3 linked regions of the Saccharomyces cerevisiae S288C genome follow. The main gene of each other region encodes a partner of the protein of the gene in region 3 in a complex. Each region holds a gene or a part of one and is shown on either strand. Other genes may lie near its edges. The genes, in order: UME1, EAF3 and RCO1. A codon is read from its position in the direction of its gene.

What was found.
Region 1: RCO1 (region 3) and UME1 share a complex: the UniProt entries of both Saccharomyces cerevisiae proteins name them as parts of the RPD3C(S) complex.
Region 2: the proteins of RCO1 (region 3) and EAF3 are in contact, whole or in part, in a cryo-EM structure (PDB 8HXX), measured with the Saccharomyces cerevisiae proteins. Residues at the interface, in NP_013791.1 of Saccharomyces cerevisiae: Cys266 (codon at 1,810), Gln268 (codon at 1,804), Gly270 (codon at 1,798), Ser271 (codon at 1,795), His283 (codon at 1,759), Phe284 (codon at 1,756), Leu285 (codon at 1,753), Cys286 (codon at 1,750), Leu287 (codon at 1,747), Asp288 (codon at 1,744), Pro289 (codon at 1,741), Pro290 (codon at 1,738), Pro293 (codon at 1,729), Glu323 (codon at 1,639), Asn330 (codon at 1,618), Asn332 (codon at 1,612), Val333 (codon at 1,609), Lys334 (codon at 1,606), Ile335 (codon at 1,603), Phe336 (codon at 1,600), Lys338 (codon at 1,594), Leu339 (codon at 1,591), Leu340 (codon at 1,588), Asn342 (codon at 1,582), Ile343 (codon at 1,579), Asp344 (codon at 1,576), His346 (codon at 1,570), Asn347 (codon at 1,567), Pro348 (codon at 1,564), Lys349 (codon at 1,561); in NP_015348.1 of Saccharomyces cerevisiae: Leu222 (codon at 1,050), Ile224 (codon at 1,044), Ile226 (codon at 1,038), Lys229 (codon at 1,029), Ser230 (codon at 1,026), Leu232 (codon at 1,020), Val233 (codon at 1,017), Asp234 (codon at 1,014), Trp236 (codon at 1,008), Glu237 (codon at 1,005), Tyr238 (codon at 1,002), Thr240 (codon at 996), Lys241 (codon at 993), Glu280 (codon at 876), Tyr281 (codon at 873), Ala283 (codon at 867), Gly284 (codon at 864), Leu285 (codon at 861), Leu287 (codon at 855), Tyr288 (codon at 852), Lys291 (codon at 843), Cys292 (codon at 840), Gly294 (codon at 834), Asn295 (codon at 831), Met296 (codon at 828), Leu297 (codon at 825), Leu298 (codon at 822), Tyr299 (codon at 819), Arg300 (codon at 816), Arg303 (codon at 807).

The regions. Positions count from the first base shown.
Region 1 is NC_001148.4:289,099-292,922, forward strand, and holds UME1 (Ume1p), read right to left. Parts: upstream 1,954-3,824; coding exon 571-1,953; downstream 1-570. Other genes in the region: SPP1 (Spp1p), read right to left, coding at 2,268-3,329; protein phosphatase regulator GIP3, read right to left, coding at 3,719-3,824. UniProt on the Saccharomyces cerevisiae protein: Catalytic component of the RPD3 histone deacetylase complexes RPD3C(L) and RPD3C(S) responsible for the deacetylation of lysine residues on the N-terminal part of the core histones (H2A, H2B, H3 and H4).
Region 2 is NC_001148.4:608,319-611,769, forward strand, and holds EAF3 (Eaf3p), read right to left. Parts: upstream 1,714-3,451; coding exon 508-1,713; downstream 1-507. Other genes in the region: i-AAA protease YME1, read left to right, coding at 2,163-3,451. UniProt on the Saccharomyces cerevisiae protein: Component of the NuA4 histone acetyltransferase complex which is involved in transcriptional activation of selected genes principally by acetylation of nucleosomal histone H4 and H2A. The NuA4 complex is also involved in DNA repair.
Region 3 is NC_001145.3:412,225-416,586, reverse strand, and holds RCO1 (Rco1p), read right to left. Parts: upstream 2,606-4,362; coding exon 551-2,605; downstream 1-550. Other genes in the region: sister chromatid cohesion factor PDS5, read left to right, coding at 1-391; YMR075C-A (uncharacterized protein), read left to right, coding at 534-899; SDD2 (Sdd2p), read left to right, coding at 3,114-3,551; IRC21 (Irc21p), read left to right, coding at 3,714-4,319. UniProt on the Saccharomyces cerevisiae protein: Catalytic component of the RPD3C(S) histone deacetylase complex responsible for the deacetylation of lysine residues on the N-terminal part of the core histones (H2A, H2B, H3 and H4).

The sequences.
Region 1 (3,824 bases), on a different chromosome or scaffold from region 3:
ATACTTGCTACTAGTAAAATGTCTAATTTTTTGAGCGAACGAATTTCATGCAAATTAGAAGGTAGCCAACATATAAATATATGAATATATATGTGCCTACGTGTTTGATGAGGTTTTCAGTAAAATTAAGCGGAAAGTATTGAGCTTTCCCAACTGATCCCTTTGATTTATTCTCTTTCTAATTCTTCAACTCTAAGGATAAAGTTTATTTCTTTTTGATTTTTTTTCGCATTGAGAAAGTGAACATAAACAAGGGTAAAATAGGCTCAATATCAGTTCACCTTTGAGAGTCTGGCAATAAGAGATGTGGTTCTAAGGTTACCTTATACATTCTAAACTCTGAAAACGCGTTTTCAAAGGTATGTACATTTCTCTATATTAAAGAGTAGATCCTTGCCGTTTATATATACATGTAGAGCAATTCTCAAGCTAATAATTAATGTTTACTTCAGACAATAAAACATTAAAAACAAATTTTTAGAAAAACAAAAGCTGAAGTAAAGACTAAATATTACACAATTTATTCATACATTTCCGCCCCAAACTCAAACAGCCTAAATAATATAAAAATTAACTTTTGGCAGCTCCAACCTCTCTACTGCCATCTAAAACTTTTCCAGTAAACGGCTTATATACAGTTAACAACCCGTCACTATCAACTGTAGCAACTAGATCCTCAATGTATTTGTGATAAGCAACGGTATTAACCTTATTATTTTCTCCTATTTCTCTTCTGCAGCCCTCAGTGTGATAAAATGCCATGCTTTCGGCCTCCAATTCGTCAGATATTATGCCTTGAAAGTCCTCATGTATCTCGTTATAAATGGCAAAAACAGGTTCGAAATTCCAGTGGTAAACATTACCTAACCCTCCAATTGTAACCACTTCCATAGGCGAAATGGAAGAAAACTCTATTTTGGACACTTGCTCGCTATAAAAGTGATGAACTTTGAATAGTTCATTGACTTTATTATGTCCTTGGTTGATATTTAACTCAGCATCAGCATCCCCTAAAGCGATAACTGCACGTATATCCCAAACCTTGAGAGCCCCACCACTAGTTCCCGTCATAAATAATGTATCAACAAACGGTGATGCAGCAAAACAAGTTGTTTTGCCGTCCAAAGAATCGTTTAGAATCCAAAGGGGCTTTTTGCCTATCTCATTACCCCAAAACCTTATGATACCGTCATCAGAACAAGTGGCGAATATTTGATTATTCAAAAACTTGATTTCTTGAATATTCTTTATGCCAGGAACAGGTATTGTACGAAGCACTTCTCCTATTTTACCTGAGTTGTCTATCAATTTTATTGTAGCGTTTTCATTATCAAGATGTTTTTCCTTAGTTACTGTTAAGGTTTTTGAATCGTTAGAAATTGCAAAATCAACACAGGGTTTATTTTGATTTCCGGACGATGCTGAACTTAGAGAAGTGGATGGCTCCATCATTGTGTAAACGGGCGATTTGACACCTTCTCTGAACCATGCCAAAGAACCATTGGTAGAAAGGGCTATCACCTTTACATTTATTTCGCTGTTATCCACGTAAATCATCTTTGCAATCGTTTCACCTTTAAATTCCCATTTTGGAATCAAAACAGTCTGCTCCACCTTTTGAGATTCCATGGTATAATCCGGTTGTACTAACGGTTCTGAAATGCTTTCAGGTTTTTTGTAATGAAGTCCGAGTGGCACTATACAATCCACCTCAAAGATTTCACTCCCTTGAGAATATAAAAGTGGTACGCTCAAAACACCTTTGGATTTATTACATGAGCTATCGTTAGTGAAAACTATACTCCTAAGTGTCGATGGAGATTCGTCAACGCCTGAGCCAAAGATAGGCTTCAAACTTGAAATATGTTGGTATAATGAGGGTATTGATTTTTTCCAAATTTTGAATTCTTCATTTTTTATTTTGTTGTCTTCTGCAATATCTAAAGTGCTCATTTTAAGTGATTAAAGAAGGAAATAAATACGATACTGAAGGTATGCGGCTGAGGAGTGGTGCTTTTTCATTCATTCGATCATGAATATACAAAGTATTGCTTGAAAAAATCAATATGCGCTTATTAAAATTTCGCAGCAAAATCGGCCGAACCCTTGCAAAACAGAGATAGCTCCGCTTTATTCACGTGAAATGGGGTCGAAATTGAAGACTATCCAAATAGGCGTTGCCTATGCAAGGACGCTCCAATTGATATATCATCACTACGAAGTATATATATATGTAGAAACTGATATTTGATTAGGCTCCAACGCCGTTACAAACCTCTTCTTAAAATTTCCTCATAGTATTGTATATTTAGTTGCTTTTTCCTGGCCTGTATCAGATGTTGCAACCTTTCTTGCATAGATTCTAAAGAGTCAATCTGCTGGAGGTATTGTTCCTGATTAGTAGACACCCAATCCAAATGTCTGTTACACTTCCACTTCGTGCATACCTCATGTATTTTGGTGGCTTCCTCATTACTTCCAAAATCTCTGACAAATTCTTCCACAGAGCAGGGTATTCGCTCGTATGTAGAACAATAGCCACATATATTTTTCCTAGCCCTACTCCTGCTGCTATTTTTCTTCTTCTTCCTTTTTGTCCCCTTGGAATCTTCTTTACCACATTCCACATGGCTTGCAGCATCATCGTCCAGCTTGCGCATTTCGGTATATACGTTGTCTAACCATCCCAAATATACTTCCAAAAGTTCTAGCTTTTTTTTGAATAATGGTAGCGATATCTCTTGAACCTCTTGCAGATCATCTTCAAGAGTTTTTAACGTCATGTCTCGTACAACAATTTGATCGAATATTTCCTTTTCGTCATCTGTTTTTACAACTATATTGTTATCAATGAAATCCAGTTGTCCAAATTTCTTGAATTTATCTATGTGTCCTGTTTGTTCGACCATTTTCTTGACGACTGCTCTATCCTCATCTGTTTTCAATCGCGACCAAATATCATTCACAAATTCTCTACCATGTTCCTCAGAACAGTATTTACTATCCTGTAAACATGGTTTGTAGCAATCACTTATCCTACATTTTCTTTTCCATAAGGTTTTTGGCAAGCTCCCTTCACCATTGATTATGGCGTCCTTATTCTTACCAGTAATCCCCGCTTGACAGTAAGGACAATAAAAAGAGAACACCAGGTCCTTAAACTGCTCAGGAATATGAAGGCAGGTGAAATGAAACCAGTCATCACAACCATCACATCCCACCATCAGCTCCCCATAGTCTGGCCTTTTACATATGCAGTATACGTCCTCTCCTGTAGTTGGATTTCTTTTTAAGGTGGAATGCGGTGGACACCATTGTGGTAATGACATTAGAAAGATAGGCTGAGAAATTATTGAGGTCGAAGTAGCCTTTTCCAAATCTCTTGTTTTTTTTCTTCTGATGAGCTTCGTTTACATTTAAAAGTAAGCATTTACAAAGCCCAATTGAAATTGTTCATATTTTACCCGCCTTGGGTTATATGCAGTGTCTAATATGTAGCCGAACATATCAATTGATTCTAAAGAGGTAAGCTTAATCCTCTGTGCTTTAATTCATCTTAAAAAGTTTATCTGTTAAGTCTATCGAATATCGCCAAATTTACTGGCGGTATATATAAATAAATATGGAAAATATGAAAGGTTGATAAAAAAAGTTTTATGCAGTGAAAAAAAGGAAGAAGAAAATGGATCCATCAGTGAAGAGAAGGATTCATGTATCTTCAAAGTCTGATTGACCTCTCCATCGACAAATTATTTAATAGTTTGTCATAGGTAGCAGTGACTTTGACTTCACAATTTGGGTCGTCAGTTGAGACTGCAGGCAAT
Region 2 (3,451 bases), on a different chromosome or scaffold from region 3:
TTTTTTGCTGCGTCAGAGGGTTAATGACTTCGAAAGACCCTTTTCTCATATAAGACGCGCCACAGAAGAATGCGCACGACAACGGACTATTTTAGATTATATAATGGCGCGTGTGATGCTGCTTTAATCATGTTGCATAGACCATGCAATTACACTAAAAATATAAAACAAGGAGCCCTGGACAGAACTTGGTAGTGTGCAAACGAGTAAGTGAAGATGATAGTACATTATATACGAAGCTCTTAGTAAGCTCATACTAGATGCGAAACGATGGATACGTCAGAAAAATAACAAAAATAAAATATAATCATTAATGATGTTTTAACTCGACAAGCCCCTTTCAGAGCTGCCATTACCCTAAGAACCTTGCAAAGAGAATAAACTTGAATTTCGTAAAGTGCCACGAACAGTGTCCATATTCTTACACGAGATATTCTGTGAAGAGTTATTGCATAAATACGGAAGAACTAAATACTAGAAATAATCCCAAGCTAGAATATAAACGTCTCACATACCTAAAGCCACTCCTTCGTATTGGCTAGACGTATTTACATACAGAGCATCGTCACTTCTATTTGGATCCTTGTCATTGAAGTATTCGTCCACATGCATCAACAACCAAACCAAGAAGTCTTCGGTTTGTTTGATTAAAAGCTGACAGCTTTGTAGATCCATTGTAGTAGACGAGATCAGCTCTGGTAAAACACTTATCAACCTTAACAGATGGATAGCCCCATAAATTCTAATTGGTACTAGTGGCTTTTGATCCTTCGATGATTTTTTCAGAAGTTCGTCATATTGCAGCCGTTCCAACCTATATAAAAGCATATTACCCAGGCACTTGTCAAAATACAACTTGAGACCGGCACAGTATTCGCTCAACTGTGACTGGGACCCTGGCGATTCCAATTCTTGACTCACTTCATGTTCGTATTTATTCAGTACCATCTCTACCGTCACATCAGCGGGTAGTCTGCAAATTTTTTTGTCCTTCGTTACGTATTCCCAATCGTCGACTAACACGCTCTTCAATTTTATGGGAATTTGAAGGGAAATCTTGGGGGTTGGATAGCCGGCAATATGATGTAGCATATTTGGCGATAGCGAAGAAGATCTTCTGCGGTCATCATTCCCATTTTGGTCGGATGACGAGCGCAAAGAGCTGCCAGGATGGAGGGAATTAGCGGAACTTCTTCCGCTTTTCCTGCCGCTCACTGAAGATGTTAAAAAACTCTGTGAAGTGCTCTTACTTATACTAGCATTCGAGCGGCTGTCTCCCTTTCTTTTTCCACCATTACTAGGCCCTCCCAGACTAGTGGAGAGCTTCTTTTTTTTCTGCTGTTCCAGTAACGATTTCTTAGCTTCTTTCGCCTCGTTCGCCAGTCTTTTTTTCATGGCAATATTCTCTTCATTGTAGGCCCGTATCCTATCATATCCAACCCACTCATCCCAACTCGACTTCCAGCCTTGGTAATGTATGAAAAAACACTTCCCATTAATGATCTCTTCTGGAATGCTTTCATCTTCTCCCAGCTTTTGTGGCTTTATTTCCTTAGTTGCTTGTGAACTACCACCTGGCTTGTCATTAGGAATGCTGGTATACATTTTCGAAGATGGATCCCATATTTTCAAGATCTTTGCTTCATACATAAGAGGACCATGGAATGCCAGACACCGCCCACCGAGCGCAAATTCCTGCTCCAAATCAACCATTATACGTTCTTCAATAGGGTAAATCCAGTGACGAGGCCTCACAGATGCTAATGCAAAATGCTATATGCTTTTAACGACTGTTTTGCAATATACCCTTTTACGTTTCTGGTCGGGATTTCGGATGCATCTTTATTTTCATCTTTCGTGAAATGCGATATGTGGCGATCGCCGGAGGAACGGCCCCCAATCTTCGCCACCTTTTTCTATCAGCATCGGTTGGTTAGTAATCTCGAATCACATGGTACCTCTTTCTTCGAGGAGTGGTAGCTCCTGTACGCTGTAGCGGTAGTGAAAAGGCAATATATCGGAGTTGGTGAAGTGAGTTAAATCTCTACCTTGCGTTTTTGATAAGTAAAAAGCAAGCACAGCTTAAAGGATAAACAGGATTTTATTGAAGCAATTTTTAATTATAATACATTGTGGATAGAACGAAAACAGAGACGTGATAGATGAACGTTTCAAAAATACTTGTGTCGCCCACGGTCACGACAAATGTTTTACGCATATTTGCTCCCAGGCTACCTCAAATCGGTGCTTCTTTGTTAGTTCAAAAAAAATGGGCCTTAAGATCAAAGAAGTTCTACCGTTTTTATTCTGAAAAGAATAGCGGTGAAATGCCTCCTAAGAAGGAAGCTGATAGCTCTGGAAAGGCATCCAATAAATCCACGATATCTTCAATCGACAATTCGCAACCACCACCTCCATCGAACACTAATGATAAAACCAAACAAGCGAACGTAGCTGTGTCACATGCTATGCTAGCAACTAGAGAACAAGAGGCCAATAAAGACTTAACGAGTCCTGATGCACAAGCAGCCTTTTACAAACTTCTCTTACAATCAAACTACCCGCAATACGTGGTCTCTAGGTTTGAGACCCCCGGTATTGCGTCATCGCCTGAATGCATGGAACTGTACATGGAGGCCCTGCAGAGGATAGGCAGACACTCGGAGGCTGATGCCGTTAGACAAAACCTACTGACAGCCAGCTCTGCTGGCGCAGTTAACCCATCATTGGCGTCATCTTCATCAAACCAGTCAGGTTATCATGGTAACTTTCCATCGATGTATTCTCCGCTTTATGGATCTCGCAAAGAGCCACTACATGTTGTCGTATCTGAATCAACTTTTACTGTTGTATCGAGATGGGTAAAGTGGCTGCTTGTTTTCGGTATCTTAACCTACTCTTTTTCTGAAGGTTTTAAATACATCACAGAAAATACAACGCTACTAAAGTCGTCAGAAGTAGCCGACAAATCAGTTGATGTAGCTAAGACAAATGTTAAATTTGATGATGTCTGCGGTTGTGATGAGGCCCGTGCGGAATTGGAAGAAATTGTTGATTTCCTGAAAGATCCAACTAAGTACGAGTCCTTGGGTGGTAAACTACCAAAGGGTGTACTGTTGACTGGACCTCCTGGTACAGGTAAAACTTTGTTGGCTAGGGCCACTGCCGGAGAGGCTGGTGTAGATTTTTTCTTTATGTCAGGTTCTGAATTTGATGAAGTTTACGTCGGTGTTGGTGCTAAACGTATCCGTGATTTGTTTGCTCAAGCGCGTTCTCGTGCACCAGCTATTATTTTTATTGATGAATTAGATGCCATCGGTGGTAAGCGTAATCCAAAGGACCAAGCTTACGCCAAACAAACGTTGAATCAGTTATTGGTCGAATTAGATGGTTTCTCACAAACAAGTGGAATTATTATTATTGGTGCCACAAATTTCCCTGAGGCTTTAGA
Region 3 (4,362 bases):
ACCTTTTGCAACGGTTCAGGAGGCCCAGTTATCTTTCAAAACATACATACCAGAGAGCTTGACTGAAAAAATACAAAACAATATAAAAGCTAAAATCGGACGGATTCTTCACACGTCACAAACTCAAAGACAAAGGCTTCAAAAGAGGTTATTAGCTCACGAAAACAATGAATCACAAAAAAAAAAGAAGAAAGTTCATCATGCGAGATCACAGGCTGACGACGAAGAAGGTGATGGGGATCGAGAATCAGACAGTGATGATGACAGTTATTCACCGTCTAACAAAAATGAAACCAAGAAAGGGCACGAAAATATTGTGATGAAGAAATTGAGGGTCAGGAAAGAAGTTGACTACAAAGACGATGAAGATGATGACATCGAGATGACTTAGAAGGGAAAAAAACATCAATTGCTATGTTGTAAATGGAAAAAAAAGGAAAATAGGTAGATCTCTCACTTTAAGATGCGATACATATGCCTATGTATGTGTGTATATATGTAAGGAAGGTGTTCACGTTCCTGATTTATTCTTTATGTATGTACGCCGTTTCTATTCGGATTGGTTTTCGGGATTTTCTATGTTTAAAAATTTTAACAGTTCTTCCTTTGGTTTGGATTCGATAATCTTCTTTAAATATAACAGATGCTTTATTTCATCGCTGGAAAAGTCATTGAATTGTATAGAATCTAGTTCGTTCGGCACGACTACGTTAGTCAGTTCTTTCAAATCCCATAATTTTCTTAAGTTATTGCTTTTGGAAGCCGATTTATTGTTACTACTCTTGTCGTTGTTGCTAACTTGGAAATATATTAAAGAGGCTATGTCTTTGACCATATTATCCTCGCTATTGCCATTTTGGGATCCATTTGATACTAACTTATCTATTAAACTTTCTTGAAATTGAAAGAGTTTTCTTTTTTGAACCATTTTTGATTTGTAAATTTTATCAAAAAAATCATATTTAATGGAATTTTCATCTATTTGTGTAATTTTGAAATCTTGATTGAAATCATAATCTGTATGACTAGTTGTTGGTATGATTTGAATGTTCCCGTTATTTTGGTAGCCTATTTTTTGTAAAGGTTCATAATAAAGTTGGTTTTTCTTGTTTATCAATCGTTGTTTTTTCCACACCTTATAATTTACGCTATTATCTTCTTGACAATGGTGTATCTTTTTGTAAACTTTAGTTGGGGAATGTAGAGGACATTTCCATTTTGAACCTAAGTTCTTGAAAGAAGCCCTCGGTACACAATCCAAATGCCATGGAGTCTGACAATAATCACAAGTCATTATTAATCTTGAATTTTCTGGATGAGACCATGAACCTAGTCTGGTTTGATTGCATTTGTAACAAATTAAAAACTTACCTGAATTTGAATCTATATGTGTATCCGGGTTGTAAGAGTCCAATTTAGTTATGCTTTGGCCATAAGAAGTGTTAAACAATTGTCTATCAGTTAATGGAATCTTATCATTCTCATCAGAGTATTGTCCTCTCGAACCCGTTTTCACAGCAGGAAAGGTTTCTTTTATATAATTTGGTAGCTGGAACTGTTTTGGGTTGTGGGAATCGATATTGAAAAGTAATTTAGCAAAAATCTTGACGTTGTTATTTTGCTTAATGAAGTTGGATTCAATTTTTTTTAAAGTTGCCATTGAGTTATTTATGAAGATTTTAAACTTACATTCATTACAATGCCAATCACCTTTAGGCAGGTTGTTCGGATCAATTGGTGGGTCTAAGCAAAGAAAGTGAAAGGATTTGGGGCATGTATCACAGCATAAAAAAGAACCTGACTGATTACAAGCCGAACAAAAATCTTCATTCTCAAAATCTATGGTTGAATTGTTCTTGTCCCTGAAAATTTTTTCACTCGCATTCGATGTTGACTTGATGGAATTTTGGCCAAATAGTTTACTTTTTGAATCATAGGTAGCATTCGTTGAAAGTATTATTTTGGTTCTAATATTTGATAGCTTTTTATTATCGCGGTCGCTTTCAGGTTCACGGTCACGAGTTCTGTTTATTATATCGCCATTCCAACCAATAGTTGACCGTATATTGCTCTCTTCAGTCATGTTCTCAGTTAAAAACGTTTTCAAATCATTTCTGTTCAAATCCTGAAAATTTTTCGGCACCTGAGTAAATCTTTTACTGGGGACCAGCGTCATTTCTGAGTTGTTCGATTGGCCTCCCAAATTTTTTCTATAATTCCAAAGAGACTCTCGCTTGATTTTCTCAGAAGGACCTTTATTTAACGGCAATCCAGTGACAGATACCTTCGAATCTTCCGAGATGGTGGATGGCTCATTAAGTTTGATGATATTACCCTTGGAGTCCTTTTCAAGAAGTTCCTTGGGTTCTTCTTCCGGGATATTGTCTTCAACTGCAAGATTGCTATGCTCGTTCTTGAATGATCTTTCTATACCTTCAGAAGTGATGATCTTTCTCCTTTTCAAATCGTAATTTACATTCTGGGAGGATAGTCTCTTAGGACGTTTTTTCTCTTTGGAAGAAGATGAAGAGAGAGAAGAAGATGAAGGAGAAGAACTGTTGGAATGTGAGGGCGACCTAGTAGTATCTTTCTTGCTGGTGTCCATTGTATTATTATTAGCAGATGGTAATGGAAGTGTCTTTTATAGGTTTTTCTATGGTGATTATTCTCGTTTATACTTGGTATTCTTCTTCCTTCCTCTCGTGCTTGTTGCAAATGTTCAAACGCGTAGTGGGTACGTCGTTCTCTACAAAGGAATGAGGCAGATCTTGCAGCGAGCTACTAAAACTACCACTTATGGGTTAACACGATATATATGTATTTATATCTACTAATATGGTATTAAGGCTCAAAAATAACCTTGCAACAGAGAGCAATAGTATAATTTCCTACATGAGGAAGAAAGTTGCCTATTATGGTGAGCAGGTGAAATCCTAGCTGCGAACGGGAAACTTATTCGGACGAGAAACAGATGAGAAACAGATGAGAATTTTTGGGCTGGGTAAGCGAGAATTTTTATACCACTTGTGGTTCTACAAGGAGAACCAAGAGTAAAAGTTGAAAAATCTTCTTGCTCTCTGGATTACAATTCAGGAGGAAGTGTGTGCTCAGATATGGACCCAGAGTTACAAGCTATTAGGGAAGCCAGATTGGCTCAGTTGAAAAACAACAGTGGGGGTACCAACGGCGATAGAAATAGCGGTGCTAATAATGGTGGAGGTGAAAATTCCGCTCCCGTTGGTGCAGCTATTGCAAATTTCTTGGAGCCACAAGCTTTAGAAAGATTATCTCGAGTGGCCTTGGTCCGTAGAGACAGGGCCCAAGCAGTAGAGACATACTTAAAGAAACTGATTGCTACAAACAACGTCACTCATAAAATCACTGAAGCTGAAATTGTTTCAATCTTGAATGGTATCGCCAAGCAACAAAATTCACAAAATAACAGTAAGATTATCTTCGAACGGAAAGATTTCAGCGAAGATCTGAATTCATTTGACAAGCAGAATGCTAAAAATGATGACGACGAAGATGATGACGACTTCTTTGATTAGTTTATATAAACGAATAATATGTTTTTTCGTATAATGTTACATTTAGTACAAATCATATCCTTTATAGAACTAGAGTTAAAGTTACATTAATTATGTGTAGCAAAAGGACGAATAAGCAGAATATAACATATTAGCAGGTGCTTAGATTACACTCATAGAGATATGAGTAGTGACGGCATGAACAGAGATGTTTCAAACTCGAAACCAAATGTCAGATTCGCTGCTCCTCAGCGACTAAGCGTTGCTCATCCTGCCATATCATCCCCGCTGCATATGCCCATGTCGAAGTCGTCAAGAAAGCCTCTTGTAAGAACCAAAATAAGACTAGATCCTGGGCACAGTGCTCTGGACTGGCACTCTCTAACCTCCAATCCAGCGAATTATTATACAAAATTCGTTTCGCTACAGCTTATCCAGGATTTACTCGATGATCCGGTATTTCAAAAAGATAACTTCAAGTTTTCACCTTCACAACTGAAGAACCAATTGCTTGTCCAAAAGATACCCCTTTATAAAATAATGCCACCCTTAAGAATAAACAGAAAAATCGTAAAGAAGCATTGTAAAGGTGAGGACGAGTTATGGTGCGTTATAAACGGCAAAGTCTATGACATTTCTAGTTATTTGAAGTTCCATCCAGGTGGTACGGACATCTTAATAAAGCACCGTAATAGTGACGATTTGATTACATATTTTAATAAGTATCATCAATGGGTTAACTATGAAAAATTATTACAGGTTTGTTTCATTGGCGTTGTATGCGAATAAAGGTTACCAGAGATAAAAAAAAAGTTTGAAGACTTACATAGGA